Linked DNA regions of Diceros bicornis minor. The main gene of each other region encodes a partner of the protein of the gene in region 3 in a complex. Links are inferred from orthologs where the notes say so. Each region holds a gene or a part of one and is shown on either strand. Other genes may lie near its edges. The genes, in order: SGSM1, NDE1 and RAB9A.

What was found.
Region 1: the proteins of RAB9A (region 3) and SGSM1 are in contact, whole or in part, in a crystal structure (PDB 4QXA), measured with the Mus musculus proteins. The link is inferred for Diceros bicornis minor from reciprocal best matches to the Homo sapiens genes RAB9A and SGSM1. Residues at the interface, in NP_062747.1 of Mus musculus: Phe37, Thr39, Ile40, Gly41, Val42, Glu43, Phe44, Leu45, Trp61, Arg68, Phe69, Leu72, Phe76; in NP_766306.2 of Mus musculus: Leu256, Leu257, Tyr258, Gly259, Lys260, Asn261, Asn262, Tyr277, Asn294, Met297, Asn298, Gln361.
Region 2: the proteins of RAB9A (region 3) and NDE1 are in contact, whole or in part, in a crystal structure (PDB 7E1T), measured with the Homo sapiens proteins. The link is inferred for Diceros bicornis minor from reciprocal best matches to the Homo sapiens genes RAB9A and NDE1. Residues at the interface, in NP_001182257.1 of Homo sapiens: Ile40, Val42, Phe44, Asn46, Gln59, Trp61, Arg68, Phe69, Ser71, Leu72, Pro75, Phe76; in NP_001137451.1 of Homo sapiens: Asp99, Gln102, Thr103, Ala105, Ile106, Gln109, Leu110, Tyr113.

What each region holds. Positions count from the first base shown.
Region 1 is NC_080774.1:19,412,841-19,420,607, reverse strand, and holds the start of SGSM1 (small G protein signaling modulator 1), read right to left. Parts: upstream 3,033-7,767; 5' UTR 2,989-3,032; intron 1-2,988. UniProt on the Homo sapiens protein: Interacts with numerous Rab family members, functioning as Rab effector for some, and as GTPase activator for others. Promotes GTP hydrolysis by RAB34 and RAB36.
Region 2 is NC_080765.1:35,288,486-35,296,330, forward strand, and holds the start of NDE1 (nuclear distribution protein nudE homolog 1), read right to left. Parts: upstream 3,001-7,845; 5' UTR 2,986-3,000; intron 2,308-2,985; exon of another isoform or gene 2,080-2,307; intron 1-2,079. UniProt on the Homo sapiens protein: Required for centrosome duplication and formation and function of the mitotic spindle. Essential for the development of the cerebral cortex.
Region 3 is NC_080781.1:11,085,158-11,092,095, reverse strand, and holds the start of RAB9A (ras-related protein Rab-9A), read right to left. Parts: upstream 3,057-6,938; 5' UTR 2,917-3,056; intron 1-2,916. UniProt on the Homo sapiens protein: The small GTPases Rab are key regulators of intracellular membrane trafficking, from the formation of transport vesicles to their fusion with membranes.

The DNA.
Region 1 (7,767 bases), on a different chromosome or scaffold from region 3:
TCTGGAAAGTAAGCCCCCAGAGAACAGGGCCTATCTTGTTCGCTGCTGTATCCACAGAGGCCAGCCCAGTGTCTGGCACACAGACGCCCCTCAGTAAATAAACGCACGGGGATTTGAACCCAGCTCTGGCTGAGCCCAAAGCTCCTTCCTGATCCGCTTCGTGGTGCCAGGTCACACCGGCTCCCCCAGCCCCACAGTCTCTGCCGGCCTTTGTGGCTTCATCGGCTCAGGCAAAGCTTGCAGACCTGCCTGGCTTATCTACAGAAACTGACTCTCAGGCCACCCCTTCCAGAAAGGACGGGAGGCACCCCCGGGCGAGGCTGTGACAGGCAGGGATGTAGTTCCTCTGAACCCAGAAGGTGGGGAGAAAGAAGACCTGAGGCCTCCCAGATTTCTAGGCAAAGAGTTTCCCTTCACCACTCCACTGCAGACTGGCTCTCTGATATTGGGAGAGATGCTCCCCAAAGAGGTGGGCAGAGGAAGAGCGGAGAGAGGAGGTCTGCTCTGGGGGACACGGACTTGTCGCCATCCCCTTAGGGGCAGCCATGCTAAACAGGAGGCTCACAGACAGAAGACTTGAACCTGTTCCCCTTCACTGTGCCCTCACTTACACTCCCCGGGCCGGTTTTCTCATCTATACAATGGAAATTATACGACCCACACAAGCCAAGATTGTGCGCTATGTAGACGTGGATAGGCATGTAAAAGCCTGGTTCTGAAGTCAGACAGACCCGGGGGTAAGTCCCTGGTTCCGCGCCTTCTTGGCTGCGTGCTCTTGAGCAACTCACTCCTCCCCTCCGAACCTCAGTTTCCTTGTCTGAAAATGGGTACAACCTCACTCACCTCATAAAGTTACTGCACACACAGGGTAGGGCACAGAGTACCCCCCAGTAAATGGAAGCTCTGATTACTAAAATGATGTGCCCCAAGAAATGGAGAATTGAGAAATAGCCACCAACGTGTGACTGTATGTCCTGCCTTCTGATTGCAGATCCAGGGTCAATGGGCACTTGAGGCCCCCCGCCTCCCTCAGGCACCAAGCAGGATGCCAAGAGGTCCCTCTCATCAAGAGATGGCCTCGGCTCATTCCAAGTCCCAAACTCCGCTGCTCCCAGGAGAGGGGACGCAGGCCCAGACCACTGGCCACCAGGGGCAAAGTGTCCCCCACGGCCTGGCCAATAACCCAAACCAGACTGACATGAATGGGACCTCCAAGGACACTGAACCAATGCTTCCTTCTCCAGATGTGGAAACTGTGTCCTTGAGAGGGGAAGGGACTTGTCCAGGGCACCAAGGGACCCAGAACCCTGCCCAGAGGTGGGAAGCACTGCCCTCCCCAGACACCTTGGTCACACACTCTTCTGCCTGAAGCCCCCCTCCCAATTGAATGGGCCAACCATGTCCTTAAAAACACAGCCATTTCAGGTGAAAACATCTGGGGAGCACGTATTACACCTGGGCTCAGTTAAACAATGAATAAAGAGACTGCAGGTTTTTAACCTGAAGGCTTTTGGGGGAATCTCCCCCAGAACAGTCATCAGAATGTTGTGCGTCTGTAGGTTTTGTTGGAAAAAGGGTCTAGACAGAGCTTTCTTCAGATCCCCGCAGGGGTCTCTTCCCAAGGCTGAGCTAAAAAGTTCTGGGCCTTTCTGTATCCTGTATGTCTCCTTATTCAGAAATGCTAGAATGTGCAAGCAGTCCTGGAGCTGTTTCTTTAAACAACGTGGGACACACAGAGACATACACACAGACACACACCCACGATCCCAGAGGAGGAAGAGGCAGCAACAGGCTGCCCTTGGTGGCTGCCTGCCATCATGCAGGGAGGGGCTTCTCGTGTGCTAACACCCCCAACACACACAGAGGCACGGGAATCAAGCCAGCCTCCAAGGTCTGCAGCCATGTGAGGTCTCGGGCTGAGGACTCAAGATACAGAGGTGACGCAGGCTCGGCAGCAATGGGGTCCGGGGTTGAGGGATGTGGGGTAACGTGAGGAGGGCAATGCACACACACACAGTCACAGCCTCACTCATTTATGCACATTCCTGCATCACACAGATACACATCATCCTCACAAAAACAGGTGAACACACAGACACATGTACACACAATACACAGAGATACACAGATATCTCCAGACAGAAGCACAGACAATGTCAGATACACACGCTCACAGCCACATGTCCTCACCCACACAGGCGTGTGCACGCTCGTACACACACTCGCACACGTACAGTCCAGGCATCTAAATGCTTCCCCCAGCCCCCATGAATATAGATGCTCCCCCTCTGTGGGAAGTCATAGGCAATGAACTCTAAAGCTAGACTGGGCTCCCGGCTGCCCCTGGGGAGAGTGAAGGGGCAGAGGGGCAGCTGGACCCTGTCTGATTCTCACCCTCCTGCGTGAGTGGGGTGGGGGTGGGGGGTGAAGGGACCCTGCTTGCCAGGAGAGCGTGGGCACATGCCCGCAAATGGAGTAACCCGCTGACCAGGGACTCTCTGGGAGGGAGTCTCCTGGCTCCTGGGGGGCGTCCAAGGACTGAGAATTTGGGGGTGGGGTAGGGGGATGGGGGGAGACTTGATTTTCCCAAAGTGAATCTTCTCCCTTTTCTGAACTCTGGTCCTCCTTCTGCAGCCTTCCCCCCAACACGCCTGTCTGCCCCCCAGGTGCCTGTCTCCCCTTAGTGAGACCCACCCACCCGCTCCTCCACAGGAGGGAGTCCTACCCAGACACGGCCAGGTGTGCCGCACACCTGGAGGGGCCGCAGCTGCACGTGCCCCGGCACACAGCACAAAAACATCCAGAGCCCCCCGTACCTGAGGCCCCCACCCCCAAACTCATCCGCCTCCAGCCCTGCGGGAGGTAAATGCCCACCCCGGTGAGCCCCACCCCCGAGGCGGCCGCCCCCGCCGCCAGGGGCCGCCCCTCCTCGGGAGACCTCTCCCCCTGCCCCGGGGGTCGCGCCCCCGCCGCCGCCCCGGCACCCACCTCCTTCTTGACGGTGCGCAGCAGCCTCTGCCGGGTCTCCGCCTCTGAGGACAAGACGGGAGGGCGGCCGGTCAGCGGGGGCTGGGGCCGGGGCCCGGGGCTGCCCTCCCGCCTCCCCGCCCCGCCCCGCGCCCGCGCGCGCTCACCCGCGAGCCCCGCAGCCATGGCCGGGCCGTGCGATCCGCGCCCCGGGCGGCGGCTCCGCTCGCCGGCTCCGCAGCTGCGGCCGCGGGGCGGGGCCGAGCGCCGAGTGACGTCAGGGCCCGCCGCGCGGGGCCCCGCCCTCCGGACGGCCGCCGCGGGGCCCCGGGGACCGCGCGAGCATCCTCCCGCCGGACGCGCGCCCTCCATCCCGCCCGGGCCTCCCGGGGAACCCCCACCTCCACGCCCAGCGCCCCACGTCCCGCCCTTATCTGGGGCAGGGAGGGACAGCATCATTTCTCCAATGTCTGTTCTGTGCCAGGCTCCAGAAAGTGGCGGGAGATGGCGGGGCGGCTACTGACACTCTCCCAGCCTCGGTTTTCTCTTCTTTAAAATGGGTATAATATGATTACCCTCGTAGGAATGTTATGAGACTTAAATGAGGTATTGAATGTAAAGTGCTTAGCACAGACCTGAGAAACAAAGGCCAGTCACCATAAAAGATAGCTGCTGCTACTATTACCACTAATTTATTATTATTATTACTATCATCATTATTATTATTATTATTATTATTACTGAGAGTTTTCTAAGGCATACTGCCTGTTCATCCAAGAGAGGCCAGTCCTTAAGTGGCTCCCTCCCTCCCCGATATGCAGGTCATTGGGAGAGTGAGGGCCTCCCAGACCCCAGTAGGGGCACCTGTCAGCCAGGATCTCCAGGGCTGGGCAGGCAATGGGCGCTTTGGGACTGAGGCTTGTTCCGCCAAGTTCATGATTGCGTCCACCCAGAATGCAACGCAGGTCTACAAATATTTATTGATCACCTACTATGTGCCACATTACTGTGTTGGAGATACTGAATTGAGCAAGACAGACAAAAAGCCTGCCTTCATGAGGCTTGGCAGGTAGACAACAAAATAAATAAGCAGATGCTATCGTGTGTTGGAAGTTTCTGGAGAGAAATGAAGTAGGCAAAGACGACAGGGAGGGCCCAGAGGGGTGGGGTTTGTATTTTGAAGTAGGGCAGTTGAGGGAGGCCCCACTGAGGAGGTGACATTGGGGCAAAGAGGAAAAGGAGCGGGCTGTGGGGATTTCTGGAGGAAGAGCATTCCAGACAAAGGGAACAGCAAGTGCAAAGGCCCTGAGGTGGAGGTGTGCCCCCTGCGTGTGACAAACAGCTAGGAGGCCAGTGGGGCTGGAGTGGCATGTACAGGGAGGACAGTGGTGGGCCAAGGTCCTGTAAGGCCTTGAAGTCCACTTTAAGGATTTGCATCCTGCCCCCAAAGGCCTCCCAGTATTCAGTCCTCCCTTCAGAAGGACTGAGGACAGCTCAGAGTGTGCCCTCTCCCTGCAGTGGTGGATCCAGAGTCCCCTCTTTTCCATTTGTCAGTCTCAGGGGTCTCTGGCCATAAGCCACAGAAGCTGACTTGGTCTAACTTAGGCAAAAGGGCATAAACTGGAAGGATAATGGGCATTCCCCGAGTCCAGGGGAGCCTCGAGAACTCAGAAATGGGATGAAACCAAGGCCACTCCAGAAGACAGGAGAGACTCTTGGGAATAGTCACTGACAGAGACAGTGTGGTTAGGGCACCACCACTCAGGTGAAAAGAGCTCCATCTGTTTAGGGTTCCCCTTCCAGGGAGGGAGCGTCTGATTGGCCCGGCCTGGGACACATCCCTGTCCCCGCTGGGGGAGGGTAGTCTCCCTCACAATCCTACCACCCCACTATCTCCAGTGAGGGTGTGGTGAATCCCCTAGGAGCCCTGAGAATGCAAAATGGTTGCTTGGTAGCAAATCTCCCACCCCTCTGCCCCCCGTATATTATAACCATATATTGAGGACCCGCTATGTGCCAGCCACTACATTAAGGGCTTCAGGCTTTGCTTGGATGATCTTATTGTCCACGTCCCCCCTCCCCCCCAGGATTTTTATTTCATGGAGAAAAAAAAGCCAAGCCTACAGAGGGTTTTGTCCCAGCTTACACAGCAAATGAGCAGCAGCCAGAATTCTAACCTCAAGGCCCGAGATTGATCCAGTGGTGTTCCCCCCCCCCGACTGCACCCCTAAGTTAACCGGGGTACTTGAGAAAAGCAGGCTGCCTAAGTCTCACTCTGGGGAGCCATTTTTCGAAACCCACGTTTTTCCTTTCCCTGCCAAGCACTAAGCCCGGGAAGTTGACCTGTGCGGGTCCTTCCCTGAAAACCTGGAGTTTTTCTTTCAAGATAAAGGACTTGACGGTGTTCGGCTTAACAGCCACAGGAAGGTGGGCACGGACGGGATCAGAGCTTGCTCAGGTGTCTGAGCTCGGTTCTCTCCGCTGCAGTTGGACCGCTCACCACCAGGGGCGCCATCACCGAAGATCAGCTTGGGAAGAGTTGGACTCTCCCTTGAGGCCTGAGCGCAAAAATGTTCAAGGGTCCCAAAGCCTTCTGCCCCAGGGTCTGAGAATCCCATCTTCTGACCCATGCTGCCCAGGCTACGCCTCATACCCGCGCCGCTGGCCGCCCGTGCGGCCGCCAGAACGAATGAGACAGGCTTCTCCTGCAGTGTCCCTTAGCGCCCTCTACCGAGAAGGCTCCGCATCGTGCTCAGCATAAATGCTTGCGAAGTCCTGCCTCTTACGGAGGAGTCAGCGCTGAAGAAGGAATCTGGAGCTGAGAGGCAATACGTTGGTAACTGGCGCAACGCAGGACCTCACAATTCATAGTGTGACAATGATAATAATGGCTGTGATTTATTGAGCACTTAAATGTGTCGTGCACTGTGCTGTGAACTTCCCACGTATTATCTCATTTAATTCACCAAACCACCCCATGATGTAGGTTCCTCCCATTATCTCCATTTTATTTTATTTTATTTTTTTAATTTTTTGTTTATTGCAGTAACATTGGTTTATAACATTGTAAAAATTTCAGGTGTACATCATTATACTTCTATTTCTGCATAGATTACATCATGTTCACCACCAAAATACTAATTACAACCCATCACCACACACATGTACCGAATTATCCCTTTCGCCCTCCTCCCTCCCCCCTTCCCCTCTGGTAACCACCAATCCAATCTCTGTCCCTATGTGTTTGTTTATTGTTGTTATTATCTACTACTTAATGAAGGAAATCATATGGTATTTGACCTTCTCCCTCTGACTTTTTTCACTTTGCATTATACCCTCAATGTCATCACAAATGGCTGGATTTCATCGTTTCTTATGGCTGAGTAGTATTCCATTGTGTATATATACCACATCTTTATCCATTCGTCCCTTGATGGGCACTTAGGTTGCTTCCAAGTCTTGGCTATTGTGAATAACGCTGCAATGAACACAGGGGTGCATGTACCTTTACAAGTTGGTGTTTTCAAGTTCTTTGGATAAATACCCAGCAGTGGAATAGCTGGATCACATGGTAGTTCTATCCTTGATTTTTTGAGGAATCTCCGTACTGTTTTCCATAGTGGCTGCACCAGTTTGCACTCCCACCAGCAGTGTGTGAGTGTTCCCTTCTCTCCACATCCTCTCCAACATATGCTGTTTCCTGTCTTGTTAATTATAGCCATTCTGAGGGGCGTGAGGTGATATCTCATTGTAGTTTTGATTTGCATTTCCCTGATAGTTAGTGATTTTGAACATCTTTTCATGTGTCTGTTGGCCATCTGTATATCTTCTTTGGAGAAATGTCTGTTCAGGTCTTTTGCCCATTTTTTAATTGGGTTGTTAGTTTTTTTGTTGTTGAGATGCATGAGTTCTTTATATATTTTGGAGATTAAGCCCTTATCAGATGTATGGTTTGCAAATATCTTCTCCCAATTGTTAGGTTGTCTTTTCGTTTTGTTGATGGTTTCCTTTGCTGTACAGGAGCTTTTTAGTTTGATGTAGTCTCATTTGTTTATTTTTTCTATTGTTTCTCTTGCCCGGTCAGACATGGTGCTTGAAAAGATGTTGCTAAGACCGATGTCGAAGAGCGTACTGCCTATGTTTTCTTCTAGAAGTTTCATAGTTTCAGGTCTTACATTCAAGTCTTTAATCCATTTGGAGTTAATTTTTGTTTAAGGTGTAAGGTAAGGGTCTACTTTCATTTTTTTGCATGTGGCTACCCAGTTTTCCCAACACCATTTGTTGAAGAGACTTTCTTTTCCCCATTGTAGGTTCTTGGCTCCTTTGTCAAAGATTAGCTGTCCATAGATGTGTGGGTTTATTTCTGGGCTTTCGATTCTATTCCATTGATCTGTGTGTCTGTTTTTGTGCCAGTACCATGCTGTTTTGGTTACTATAGCTTTGTAGTATATTTTAAAATCAGGGAGTGTGATACCTCCAACTTTGTTCTTTTTTCTCAGGATTCCTTTAGCTATTCGGGGTCCTTTCTTGTTCCATATAAATTTTAGGATTCTTCGTCCTATTTCTGTGAAAAACGTTGTTGGAACTTTGATAGGGATTGCATTGAATCAATAGATGGCTTTAGGAAGTATGGACATCTTAACTATGTTAATTCTTCCAATCCAAAAGCACGGAATCTCTTTCCATCTCATTGTGTCTTCTTCAATTTCTTTCAGCTTTCCGTGTACAGCTCTTTCACCTCTTTGGTTAAGTTTATTCCTAGGTATTTTATTCTTTTTGTTGCGATTGTAAGTGGGATTG
Region 2 (7,845 bases), on a different chromosome or scaffold from region 3:
TATTTTCAAACAACTTTATCTTCTTGAAGCTATTCAACTGTAAGAGTAAGCAAGGCAATCACTGGGTTTCTTAGAAGATGAAGCTGGAGCAGAAACACTGTATGCCTTGGCCATCTCCATGGGTGCAAGTGAGTGGCAGAGGCAAACCAGACCCAAGTGCAACAGGGGTCTTGGAATTCAAGTTCAAGGTCTCCCTAGGGTTGCAAGCAGACTGATCAGAGTCACTCCTTTCATTTGGCTTACACTGTCTTTTAAAAGGCACTGTGACAGGCAGATGTTAACGCTTGTTCACGGTACACACAACTTTGCACCCACGATCTTAAAAATGAATATTGCATGCATTTATTTCATCAGTGCTACAGGTGTCAGGCCTCCTAACTTGGGTTCTCAATATGCCATCGCGCCCAAGCAGCTCTATGGACAAATCTAATGGGCACCTCAAATGTATCTGCTACAGCACTCAAGGAAGAACAAACTGGAATCAAGTGGTTCGGAAAGTATCTATTTTCTATTTTGCATAACTTAGACCCGCTATTCCTACAAAAATGTGTTTCAGCAAAGTTTTTTTTTTTTTTTGCACGTCTTCCATGATTGAATTTAACAGGAAAGTCTGAAAACACACTTGAGACACACACCTTTGATTTCAAAACTCTAGAAAAAAACAAAGCAATCTTTCTTGGCTCTCGTCGGAGTGAAGACAGCCAGCACAGCTGGTAAGGAGCAACACACAAGTAGAAACCATAGGGAATCAGCTCACCACCCTTCTCCACCCCAACTCCAATCCTTCCCAAAGAAAACACAAGGAAGAGCTGAAGGGAAAGGGAGGAACGGAAAAAAGTTGCCAAATGCTGGCACGTGCTCCAACAGCTTCTATGTTATGACACAGGCTTTGCATTTTGCAGAAGTGACATCACTGGGGCAGAATCAGTCAAGAGTCAGCAAGTCTGGCTTCTGTCTGTGCTTTCAAAGTCTGTAATGATCTACCCACAAAAGTCCTTAGGTATGCAAAGACATTTGCTCAGGGGTGCACACCATCATTCACTGACATGGCAAATGAGAGAAACTTCACTGAGTGCTTCAATAGAGCACTGATCGGAAAACTATGCAGTTAAGAAGAATTATATGTACTAATATGGAAGAAAATTCATGATATGTTAACAAAGGATGCCACTTTGTTTACAAATGTATCTCCCTCCCTCTGCATACTTAGAAGAGTCTGGAAGGATGTACTAGAATGGGGGCAAAGCAGGCACTGCGTTGACAACTTGTACCTGACACCCTTCTCTACTACCTACACCGACTTTTACAGGGACCATATATTGCTTGTGAAATTTTAAGAAGCTTAAATTTGGACATAAAAAATAGAATAGCTATTGTTCCAGGATAATATTATTTTACTGAACCAAAATGCCAGGGAAAGAATTTTTCCTGCCGTGGTGTCCCCCTCGTCCATCCCTTTTCAGACATTTCCGAACACCTAAGTGGTAGGCACTACTGGGAGAGGCAGGCACAGAGCACTTACATCATACTAGGTGCAAACACAGTACTAGCTGCTGACACAAACTTTCTGTATGAAGGCGTGCTGCTAGTAGGAAATTATCTTGTAAGGAAAGGGAGTGTAATCTCTCTGGGCTCACAGTTCTAAGGCAAAAGAACACACTTTGGAAACAAAAATAACATCTTAACAGAATAAGCCAAGTTAAGAAACTGTTATCTAAAATGGAATAAAACATACCAATCAGAGGCCCCTGAGACTTCAAGGACATAGAGCATCTGGATGGAATCCGACACAAAAGACACACTAAGAGGAAAGATTTAAGTTTCAAAAGTGGTTCAATACCATTGTGTGTGTGTGGGGGGGGGTCAGATAACAGGTGGCTCTTGGGAGTCGCTGAGATTCAATTACTCTTCAAAGCACCCTATGTCCTAAAATGTCATGCTATCCCAGAATACACAAACAAAACTAGCATAGAAAACGACAAATCTCTGCCCAGCGAGCGCTGCTAAAGCCATTTCTTTAGAAGTGAACTTAAAAGGGGCCTTGGGCTAAAAGTAGAAAAGAGACAACCTGGTACAAACCCTGGACAAAGAAATCAGGCAAGCTCAGACCCTCAGGAGGCAGAGAACCTGCGATGACTGGAGGAGATAATGTAGCGTCCCAGAAAGCGGTGTCAAGGTGACGGCGGGGTTTCCCATGACCTCAGAGAGGCAGGTAAGCCCGGCACTGCATGCAAACTGTAGAATAGGCGTTTTCATCCTTTCTCCAACCCTTCCCCAGAGCGCTGTCAAGGGAAATCGGAACCGTCCTGCGGCAGCGATCTGAGAAAAGCGCAGGGAAGGGGACTGTTCCAAACACGTTCCCGAAGGGAGAGAAGTGCCAAGGATGGGGGGAGGTTTTTGGAGAGAGGCCTGTGCTGAGGGTGGAAGCGGGGGGGTAGGTGGGCCAGCAGGGGGGCTACGAGGAATGGGGGGAAATGGGGGCAGCGGGAGGAAAGGCGTGGCGGGGACTGAGAAGGGGCAGAAAACAGAGCTGGAAAAGTCTAGAAGAGGCAAGGAGAGGAGTGTGCGGTGGGAGGGAATGGGCGGGCAGAGGAGCCGGGCTGCGGCGACTGAGGACGCGGAGGGCAGAAGCACCGAGGCAGTCAAGGAGGGAGGGGAGGGCAGCGGGTGCGAGCGAGACCAGCGCTGAAAGGGAAACAAAGTTGGCAAGGGCGAGGAGCCGGGCGCGAGGACACAAGAGAGGGAAAGCACCCAGTTAGGGAAGGAGGCTCCCAGGCAGCGCGATTTTCCAGCCCAGCGCCCGGGACCGGCGGAGTCTGGGCGGCCGGGAAGCGATGCACAAGCGAGGGGCGCGGCAGGGGCCCCGCACGGCGGCGCCCGGGGGTCCCGAGAGCGCAGCGGGCGCCGGGGCGGGGCAGAGGAGCTTCCCGGCGGCGGCGGCCCCCGCGCTGCTCCCAGCCCCGCCGGCTGCAGCTCCGCACTTACCGGGCTCGGGCGCCGAGGACAGGAGCGGCGGCGGCGGCGTCGGCGGCGGCGGGGAGCGGCGCGGCCAGCGGCTCCGGACACCGCCCCCGCCCCCGCGCTCGCGTCCGGCGCCGCCCATTGGCTGCCGCGCCACGGGACCGCGTCCGCCTCGGCCAATCAGCGCCGAGCAGCGCGGTTTGGAAACTTTTTTCCCAGGGCCCCGGGCGCGGCGCGGCCACGCGGCGGTCCTGGGCGGGAGGGGGCCTGGGAGACTCCCGCTGCTGGGCTGGGACCCGGCCGGCCTTGGAGCCTGCAGGCTGCTCCTCGGACACCCCGGGAATGGGCTTGGACTTGTGGGCCACAGACTTCATGAAAATACGACTTCCTCCCCTTGTCACCGATTAGATTTTCCCCATTTTTCCACTTTCCCCAAATCAGAGGGAAGGACAAAGATCCAGGTCTGCTTAGGCTAAGGAATGCCCCATGTCCTTCCTACTCCTTCACACCCAAATTAAAATCTTCAACCTCATTATCTTCTTTCTCAAAGGCAGCAAAACTTTGCAGAAGTTTGGTCTCGAACCTGGCTTTGAATTCTAGCTCTGCCCCTTAGGAGCTGTGTGATCTTGGGCAAGTTACTTATACTCTCTGGGACTTAGTTTCCTCATCTATAAAATGGAGTTCATGATAGGATTCTACCTCACAGGGTTATGCAGAGACTAAATGAGATAGCTTTCGTAAAAAGTTTGGGACAGTGCCTGGCACATAATTAAGTACAATCCATTTGTTAAACGATCTTGAGTTTTTAATTGGTGATGTGTGTCAGGTACAATGCTAACTTCTTGACGTGGGTTTTCTCATTTCTCACAGCAACGCTGATCATTCACCAACAAATATTTATTGCACACTCCTGCTTATGGCACAATAAATGTTAGACAAGATGCCTGTCCTCAAAGGGCTAATACTGTTAAGAAGGAAAGACGCTAAACCAGCAAACAGAAAAAGTAAAATAATTTCAGATGGTAATAAGTGCTATGAATAGAGCAAGGTCATTTGGCAGGAAAGCGCTAGAGGGGGTCACTTCAGATGGTCAGGGTAGGCTGCTCTATGGAGGTGACGATGAGGCTGAGACCCAAATGATGAGAATCACAAAAAAGCACTTTTATTGTCCTCATTTTAAAGATGAGAAAACAAAGGTGCAGGAAGTTAAATGCATTGCCCAAGGTCTCACAAGCTGTAACAAATCAGGCTTTAAAACTGGGTCTGTTTGACTCCTACACCCTTGTGCTTCAGCACTATGCTAGAGACAAAGAGATCTTAGCTACTTTGAGGCCTCCAACCACGCTCATAGAATCCCTCCTACCTCCCTGCCATGGTTAAGAATGACCTTTCTCAGGCCAGCCCCGTGGCTTAGCGGTTGGGTGCACGTGCTCCGCTGCTGGCGGCCCGGGTTCAGATCCCAGGCACACACTGACACACGGCTTCTCTGGCCATGCTGAGGCTGCATCCCACATACAGCAACTAGAAGGATGCGCAACTATGACATACAGCTATCTACTGGGGCTTTGCGGGAAAAAATAAAATAAAATAAAATAAAAAAATTAAGAATGACCTTTCTTGAATTCTACTTTGTTTTAACTCTTGCTGCTTCCTGAAAAAGCTCAGGGACACAAAAGGGAACCACCCCCTACTTTCAACAGGGTTAAGGAAAGTACCAAAATGTCTTTCAGGAAACTTTCATCCGCGTCCCAAATACTAATAAATCATTTGCACCCTCTTGACACTTTTGCTCTGATACTTGCTTTCACCCCAAAATTTTATTTGACCCTCACCATTCTGTGAGGTTTCTGGGCAGAGGGTAATCACCCCAGTTTACAGATAAACTGAAGCACAAATTGATGAGGTATCAGACTAAATGGCATTGATCAAGTCATTTGAACTGGTTGATTTTCCATATCCTTCATTTTCCGTTAAAAAAAGGGAGAGGACATTGAAATGATTATCATTAAAGTCCTTTTCAGGAACAGGAGTTTAGGTAAATGGGTTTGTCATTAGGTAAAACCTTAGAAATGAAAAGGAAATTTTGGTGTACTTTAAAAGTTTTACCTCTCTTACTCAATTTGTTTTCCTTGTGGCTCTCAGATATGAATGAGCAGACCTCTGTTCCTCTTCCTTAAGTATGTCTATCATAATTTATGAATTCAAAACGCTAAACCTGGGGCCGGCTGGGTGGTGTAGTGGTTAAGTGTGCATGCTCCTGCTTCGGTGCCATGGGGTTCACTGGTTCGGATCCCGGGTGCTCATAGACTCACCGCTTGTCAAGCCATGCTGTGGGGGCGTCCCATATAAAGTAGAGGAAGATGGGCACGGATGTTAGCCCAGGGCCAGTCTTCCTCAGCAAAAAAGAGGAGGATTGGCAATGGATGTTAGCTCAGGGCTAATCTCTCTCTCTCTCTCTCACACACACACACACACACACACACACCCACCCACTAAACCTAACACAGGCAGACGAGAAGTTGTGGGAATTAACTCCTTTAGTGGCAGCTGGGTCACTTAAATAGCACAAAAATAAATCTTCATCCTGGTTTCATAAATGTGAAGACTATAATTTGGACAAGGAAAAAACTGAAAGTTACTCACTCTCTGATGAAAGAGTTTGCCCAGTAAAGAACCAGGAATAAGATTAACAGAGGCTATACTGAAGAGAGTAATATTTCAAGAAAAACGTTAAAGCACTCTCACAAATGTCAAATTGTGTTTTGATTCATAATATGATTTGGTCTGCTTCCAAGGGCTGGTGTACCCAGGCTAGTTCTCCATAGAAAACAATAAAGTTGCGTTTCTTTAAAAATTACTTGCAATTCAGACTTTTCATTAGCGTTCCATTTAGTGTGATTGATTCATTTTTCTTTCCTGCATCTCACCTGTTGAGACCAGGCCCCGCTCTGGACTTGAAAGAAGGCCAGGTGAAGTCAAATAAAACGTGTCTGCTCTTATTATGTTTTGTGGCTAAAACCTTTTTTTAAAAAGAAATTTAAAAAATTCACAATTACTTTGTTTCCTTTTTTATATTTCCGTTGATAGGGTCTGTGTTCAGAGATACTCAACTAGAATAAAAAAGAGAAAGAAAAACACCTTCAAAGAGAAGCATATTTGTTTGGTACCTTGAAAAAACCAAAACGTTAGAAACAGGGTTGTTTTTCATCTGTTCTAATTCCCACTTGGAAAATACTGCCCACACAGACACACAATGAAGATTTACTCAGCAGTAATAAATACCTAAGCAAGCAGATGATGGGCGTGCTTGTCATCTGCGTTCTGGAAAATGAAATACAAGCACAAAGGATTCTTCAGCTACGTGCTGGGTCTTGCCCTCCACAATACATGTCTGTAAGGATGTCTATAGGGATGTATTAGCTTCCCCTGAAATCTCCCCCACTTAATGCAAATTGCCTAATGAAATTGCCTCACACTGCCGACTTCAGGGGGGGAAGAAAGTTCTTTTGGCAATTTCTACTGACTCGTCTGCAAAGTTAATCTATTTCTTGGCAAACTTCAGAAATGAACTTGTACGTAGTAGTCAGCTAGCACATCCTAAACTATGTCTAGATTCAGATATGTGCTTTGTTTTTCCCTTAATTTGCAACAGGAAATAGCGAGCAGCTGGCAGTTTCAGAAATGACGGTTGTGCTTGGAGTTTTTTAAAAAAAATTTATTTCAGGTACAAGTAAAGATTGGGAAGCGCTAAACACCAAAAGCAAAACCAAAAAACCCCGCAAACGTGGCACATCTATCCACGTAAAACACAAGCTGTTGTTGGCTTCACCAGGCTTTTGCAATTCTAAGTTCTCCTTTTTGCTCGCCCAACCAACCTATCACTGGCAAAGTTGTACTCGTTTGTAACAAGCTCTGGACCAGGGCTTTTAAAAATTAGGTTTTCTCCCTAAAGTCACGAGGACCTCTTAATGGTCGGTGACAATAGCCAGCCCAATCTTGGCACGCACTTTATTTTCGCCAGCTGGGTCGCAACTTTGCAAGGAGCCCCGCGGCCCGCAGGACCTCCTGGGAAGCCCCGTTGGCTATTTTTTTCTCCACTCGCCACTAGGCTGCACTAGATGAAGGATGCTGTGGAAAATATGCGTCATTTAAATTTTTTTTAATAAAGTAGAATCATCACGTGACAAGAAAGCGAGAGAGGGGGAAAAAAGCCCAAACGATCGGGTTTTGCATCGAAATCCCATTTAAATCGCCTTCCCTCCAAAGACCGAAAGGGCTGGGTTGTATCAAATCCCCGTTGGCAGGGTTTTTCCCCCGGTTCCACCTCCCAAGCTCCCTAATTCTCCGCTTTCAGGTTCCTTTCCACTCCACAACGAGAAGCCAGGGGGAACACCCCCTTAAACTGGGTGTTTTCGCCCAAAAAAGCGGAGTCGCCCCCCGGGAAGGTGCCTATTTAGGGGTTTATCGGGAGGGGACTGAGCCTGACGAGGCTGCAGGGCCGCGAGGCCCCGCCCCCCCCGGGGTTCCCAGCACGCCCCGCGCGGGGAGGACGCGGCGGCGGGGGAAGGGCGGAGGAAGGGGCGGAGCGAGGGGGAAAGAAGGGCGTCGGTTTTGCGACAGGGGAGGTGCGGTGCGGAAGCGGAAGTGGAGGGTGCGCTTGGCGGCGGCGGCGGGAGCTGCGGAGTCGGGAATCAAAACAAAGGGCCTGGGGGGGGGGCGGGGGGAAGGCGGCGGGGCCGGAATGTGAGCGGAGGTGGAGCTGGCGGTAGAGGTGAGTTTGCTGGCAGCTCTGGGGACTAGTCCCTGACGGGCCCCACTACTGTAGGGCCACCAGGCTGGAGGGGGGACAGTGTGCCCCCTTCCCCTGCCCATTGCCGGCGGGGG
Region 3 (6,938 bases):
CGTGGTCAACCTGCAAAGCTATCAAAAACACATCAACTTTTCCCCACTTAAGTCCGCCCACAGTAAATGCCATGATACAGGTACCTGTGTGTGGGTGTGCAGCTGTTTTGTTTGTTTGTTTTTAATGATACCTGGCCCCTGATTTTGAGTAGCCCGGGCAATAAATTTTGTTCTAGGACAAAATCAAAACCTGATGTTATGATGGTAATTAGACTGGAAGCTTCGGGGAGGTGGGGACTGCCCACTGCCCTTCATATCACCAGCAGCTTCGTATCAGTGCCCCACAGGATACTCAGAAAATGTCTGTTGACAACTGGAATAATACAGAAAGCAAACTCCCTAAGTCTACTTCAACGGCTCGGAACGGCTCGGAACGGCTCTCAAGTTCTCTTTGACACTTTTGCCTTAAAACAAAAAAAAAAAGGATTCTGTTATCAGAAATTATTTGCTTACTTCTTCATCTTTCAAATGAATGAATATGCCTCTTAGTCAAGGGAAACGTCTTCAAGTTCTCAAATTTTTCCCCCAGCTCTTTCTTCAAACGATGGGGAGGTATCCTAAATAGGAAAACGGCATCGCATTTGAAGAATTACAGAGGTGCTGAAACGTTACCTCTGGAGTCACACAGACTGCTGTAAAGCAAGGTTTCTCAGCCCTGGCACTAGTAACAGATTGGGCCAGACAACTCTTTGCCGTGGGGGGCTTGTCCTCTGCATGGTAGGATGTTGAGCAGCATCTCTGGCCTCTACCCACTAGATGCCAGCAGCACTCCCTCTCAGGTGTGAACCAAACATGCCTGCAGAGGGGCCGGCCCCGTGGCTGAGTGGTTCAAGTTCCGTGTGCCCCACTTCGGCTGCCCAGGTTCGTGGGTTCGGATCCCGGGCACGGATTTACTCCACTCATCAGCCATGCTCTGGTGGCATCCCACATACAAAATGGAGGAAGATGGGCACAGATGTTAGCTCAGGTCCAATCTTCCTCAAGCAAAAAAAGGAGGATTGGCAACGGATGTTAGCTCAGGGCGAATCTTCCTCACCCAAAAAAAAAAAAAAATGCCTGCAGACATTGTCAAATGTTCCCCAGTTGAGAACTACACCTCTCAACTCACACAGGCCTGACTGAATCCTGGCTCTGCCCTCTCACTACCTGTGTGACCACGGGAAACAGTTCTACTTCTCCTATACTCCAGCAAATTCCTCATCTGTAAAATGGAGCTAATACCGCAGAAATGTTGTGAGAATTAAATGAAATGATATATTACAGGATTTACATGCACAGAACATCCAGTGCCCGAGTGGCTGCCCAAGAAATGCTAAGAAATGAGAGAAGGCTAAAAATTAACTTCCACAACCAAAGGAACCTATCTTCAGGCCTCCAGGGCACTGTAGTCTAGATGGAAGAAGTGGCTGAGATGGAAAGAAATGAAAAGAGAGAGAGGCTGGCAATGAGCAACTAGCACTAAAGTATTTCCCAAGCATTTCTCCAAGAAGCCGGCTTGGAGTCAAGGCCAATGATGTTCAACTTAGTTTTCCTCGGGCTACTCTAACCTCACAAAGGATAAACCAAAAATATCCCCAAATCACAAAACTCCAAAATAAACAAGTCAACAAGCCGGAAACTTTTTAGTATAAGCAAGAGGAATTTACTACAATGTCTACACAAAAATACAAAAAGCACCAGACTGCCAAACCATCATCCTAGGTTCGGGAATCTAAATAAGTCACTGAAAGTTCTAGACAAGTAGTGATGATGACTTCAACAGACACTTCTAAAAGACAAACTAAGAATACTCTTCTTACAAGTCCCTGACTGAAGAGTTCTGGGTTTCCTTCATCTCTACAGTTTTACTCCAATGAACAGTTTCTGAGATTACAGGAAATTTAGGGATTTTTCCATTACAGAGGTGCCAGAGACAGAAAGACAAACATGTAAAAAAAATTTTTAATTTTAAAAAAGCAATCAAATTCTGTGTATTGATTTTCTCAGGACGCTGAAATTCTATAAAAAGATTATGGTCACGTGACAATTTGGAACCCAGCAGAAAAGTCATTCCTCAAAAGAACCGTGGTCACGGGATGTGTCATCACTTAAAAAGAAAAAACACCAACAACAAAACCAACTAATACCTCCACAGCTCTGGTCTGCACTTAAAATTCTCATCCGGCCTCTTTACGTAGTCAGTTGGAAGAAAGAAAGGAACACAATTCGGAAACCTTAGCCAGAGTTTGAATCAGATAACGCCCCAAACCGCCTTCAGCCCCTAGGAGTGGCTTTACATTCCAAACGCCTCACCTGAGTGCTCAGAACACAGTAGCAAACGCTCACCTGGGCAGCGGGTCAGAGGTCACCAAAATCAAACTGTGAGAGCGCCTTTGCTTTCTCTACGTTAACCATTCGAGGGTAGAGTTTGGTTTGGGTGGGCTGGGGCGTCTGGGTGTGTCCCTGGGTGACGGGTATATTTCTCCCTGTGCGTGTGTTTCCCCGGGTGTTTGCGTGTATGTCTCTCTCTCCCTGGGTGTTTGGCTATGTGTGGGTCCCCAGGTGTTCACGGATCTCTCTTTCCCAGGGTGGTCGTGTGTCCCTGTTTGTGGATCTTTCTTTTCCCAGGTGTGTGTGTGTTACCCCCGGATGTCTGGGCGTCTCTCAGGGCGTCCCCGCGTGTTTGGGTGTGAGTCCCTCTCCCCGGGTGTGTGGGTGTGGGAACCCCTCTTTCCTTCTGCGTCAGTCAATAGGAGGCAGCGAGCGATAAGCTGTCCCCCGTCCCGGGGCGGACGAGTGACCCGCGCAGGCCCCGCGCGCCCCCCGCCCCAGCTGCCCGAAGCCCAGGCCGCCCGCGGGGCTCCCTCAGGCCCTGACGCCCCGCGCACCCGACCCCTGTCTCCGCCCAGCCCCGACGGGAGTCCGCGCCCCGCTCACCTCGCGGCCACACGGAGGACGCCGGGGAGCTCCGGGCCGGTCCGTCTGGGTGCAACGAGGAAGAGAGGGTTCGGGACTTGGCGGGCAGGAGGCAGCGGCGCTAACCGTGTGCGCTTCCAGTTGCTCCCGTCCAGCACAGAGGGAACAACATGGCGACAGGCCGGGGCGGGGCCCGGGGAGGCGGGGCGGGGCCTGGACGGCGGAGCCCTGGAGAGGCGGGGCGGGGCCCGTGGCGGTGGGGCGGGGCCTAGATTATGGAGCCCGGGGAGGCGGGGCCTCGAGGTCCCGGTCCGCCCCGCCCTCGCCCACTCCCTGACCGCCTGTCCTTTCTGAAGCACGGTTTTTCATGGGGTCTGCGGTTCCTCGTGTCCTCCGGCTGCGTTCCGGAGAGAGACAGCACGAAATGATAGTTATCTTTAAAAGTTTACATAGAGTGGAAATAAACAGATCGCATAAGCACAATCACAAGGATGTTGTGATTACCATGAGAAAATGAATGTGCAAAGAACAAAAGGGTAAATGAAAAATGAAAACAGCTGTGATATTGTGGAACAACAGGAACTTTTTTAAATTTAAAATTTTTCTTTAATCTTGTTAAAATACTGCCTCTGTCAGAGAAAGACAAACACTGTATGACCTCTCTCATATGTAGAATAGAAACTAACACAGAGAGAGAACAGTTTGGTGGTTACCAGGGGGGAGTTGGGGGGGGCATAAGGGGTGAAGGGGCGCATTTATATGGTGACTGACAAATAATAATGTACAACTGAAATCTCACAATGTTATAAACTATTATGACATCAATAAAAAATTTAAAAAAAATACTGCCTCGGTCATCTCTAAATATAAAGCAGTAATGGGAAAAGGCGGTATTGGGGAAGCTCTTCTAATTCCTGTCTTTATAGATTGGGTCGCGCGCATGGATCTTACGATATAGGCCCCTGGAGATCCGAAGGACTTTTAGTGACCTCTCAATATATTTTGTGGGGTAGATTTAGTTTATTTTCTAAGAGAAGCATCTCACTTTTATGATTTGCTAGGCCCACAACCATTAAATAACCTCTGGCTCTTTGGGGAGTCATTTTCAGGTAATGAATCTAATGTAGTCTTTTCATTCAGCACTAGAAAGGTTATATTTGAGAGAGTTTCTCACAAGTATAAGAGACAATTTTAGAATACTCATGAAAATGAGGCATAAATGAGTAATAAAGATTGAGCTCTAGTTTGAGCTTAAATGAATTTTTCTTTTATAGAAAAAATCTATGTTTTATCCATGCAGATATTTCCCCAAGGACGTATGAGTAAAGGTTTATAAAATACAAATCTGTTGAAAATAGGGAGGGGGAAGAGATATTCATTACCTTATTTTAAAACACATAATTAAAACTATGCAATAAAAATATAAGAACATTAGAGTTAATTTTCCAAAAGAAAAAATATATAAAGTGTTATGTACTAAATTGCAACAAGCAATCCACGGGATCACTAAGAAAATGCTACCTGAAAATCCTATGTCATAATCATAGTCAAGGAGTGATGGAATAGGATTTTATCTCTGCAACTGCTAATACCAACCAGCTATTAACAAGTGCTCTCACGGAATTATTGTATCTTGACTTCAAGTAGTAAGACTTGAGAAATCCAAGAGTTTTCAAAAAAGGGATCTAAGAAGGTCCTACAAGTGATTCCTAGGCTATTCCAAAACGTAAGTGAGGCATACAAACCTATCAGAGTGTAGCTTATAGTCAGCACTTGAAGAAAGAAGGAGGAAAGTTACTTTTTCTGAAATAACTATTACTTGGACACTAGCCAACTGACACAAGAATATTCTTATATTCTGGTCTCTTCTACTGTTCACTTCTTTACCTAATTGATTTGACAGCGCAAGAGTAGGGTGGGTCACAAGATTTGTCCCTGGAGCGTGAGTTTGGGGGATTTTTGTTGTTGGGTGTGCGTGGTTGGCAAGCTGACACAAGTTAGATAGATGGTCTCTATCTCTCTTGTTCCATGAATTTGTTGACTGACAAAAAACATTTAAGAACTGACCTAGTTTGACGCCCTTCATCTAATTAGAATATTCGTCTTTATATTCTGTAAACTTGTAATGCATCACCCATGGAGGAAAAAGAGGTCAAGGTTGCTAGGCATTAATGATTCTATGACCAGAAACCAGGCAAGGAAAGAGTTAATGAAAATCTGATCCGCAACTAAACATAGTCTGTCAAATGTTTTCCAGACAATGAGAAAATTAAATGTGCTATTTTTCAGAAGTTGATGTCCTCCTTTTTGCAGATGTTGCCATCCTACAGTGAAACTTACACGGTTGCAGCAGGACCATTGCAAACCGCTCCAGCGGGAAGCGTCCAAAAGTTACCTTGGACCTGTTATGGAATGGCATGTTACATTGAGCTCATCGTGTAATGGCGTTGAACGGGGTTATGTAACGGCTTGCACATGCACCCTGATTAGGCCCAGTTGTTACACAGTTGTAACATATCCTCTGCACTCTGGAGTATCAAGTCTTCAACTGCACTAAGCTGGTGGGCTGGGGGGGTGCACTGCTTTGGGGACTATCCCTGGTGTTCCCCAATGCTTGTGCAAGCAATAAACCTTTTTTCTTCATCCACTTCAGCCTTGGTTGTCGTGATTTTTGGCTCTGCACTCATCAAGAGACAGACCCATTGAGTTCGGTTACAATTCCTTCCCTTAAATGACACTTACTTGTTACTATGAGCACTGGGAGTTAATACCCCATTTCAAGCTGGAGTCTGAAAGAAGTCACCTCTGGTATCTCTGATGAAAAGTCACAAGTAAGTGGGCCCCAGACTCAAGTGTAATAAATACTGATTATAATTAAATTGATTATACTTTTCACATATAAGGAAAAACACAGAACTTAATGGTAGGCAATTTGACCATTAAATGATATCTAAACAATCAGAAATTTGATATTTTTCCCAAGTCATTGGCAAAAATAAGAGATTTGTTCTCAATATTGCATAGATGCTCTTGTATAGCTGTACTAAGAAGGAAGAAAAGCATAAAAAGTAATTCAAAATCTGTTATATTTGGCTTTAAAGTCAGAGTGAAAATAGATAACAATAAATAATGTTAAGTGAAAAAGAACATTACCAAATAGTATATGGAGGAAAATCCCAATTTGGTGGAGGAAGCACTTTTTATAATATATAACTTTTCAATAGATATTGAAATATTTATCTAACATTTATTTATATGTATTTATATATTTATATTGTCAATATCTCAAGCCAATGTCACACTCTTCCTGTTTGTCTTGAAACTAAATTCAGCATGTTTCTTACACTAATACAGAACTTTTGTTCCTGATCCTTAAGTCAGATAAAATCTCAATATATGAGGAAATACCAGAAGTCTGATTTCTTTACTGCTTAGTTTAAAAAGGAGTACTGAATCCAAAAAAGGAATAGTAGCATCACCCTTAATCTATATATCATCAGTGAGCAAATTTCAGAATTTGCAATCTTCAGGTTGATGTGATCAAATGGAAATGGACCCACAATCATGATAGAGCATATATCCTTTCATGGGTCCCATGAATTCCGTCCAGTGGTTGATGCTGAATGGCCACCTGGCTGTCAAAAGCCACCAATACACTTCCTTCCATCAGCCTGCCCACTGTCGGGAGAGGGGGAGCATGGGAGTCAGGAACCAACCCAACTGGCACCTCCCAAGTTAGTGGGTAACCACCACACCAGCCCAAACCCTTCCAATACCTGCAGCATAGACACACAGCTACTCTCTCCCCTTGGGTAATTTTAAGATTTGCAGAAAACGAAAAGTCATTTCACATTAATACTTATTTATTCAACAAATATATAGTGAGTGCATACACTATGCCAGGTGCTGAGAATACAGAGGTAGACAAGACTGAGGAGGAATTCAGGGGGTGTCCCCAGGCACCCTCCCTGCGTTTTCGCTCCCATCCACCAGCTGTGTTTATATCATATGACCTTACCTTGGTGAATACAATCGATTCAGGC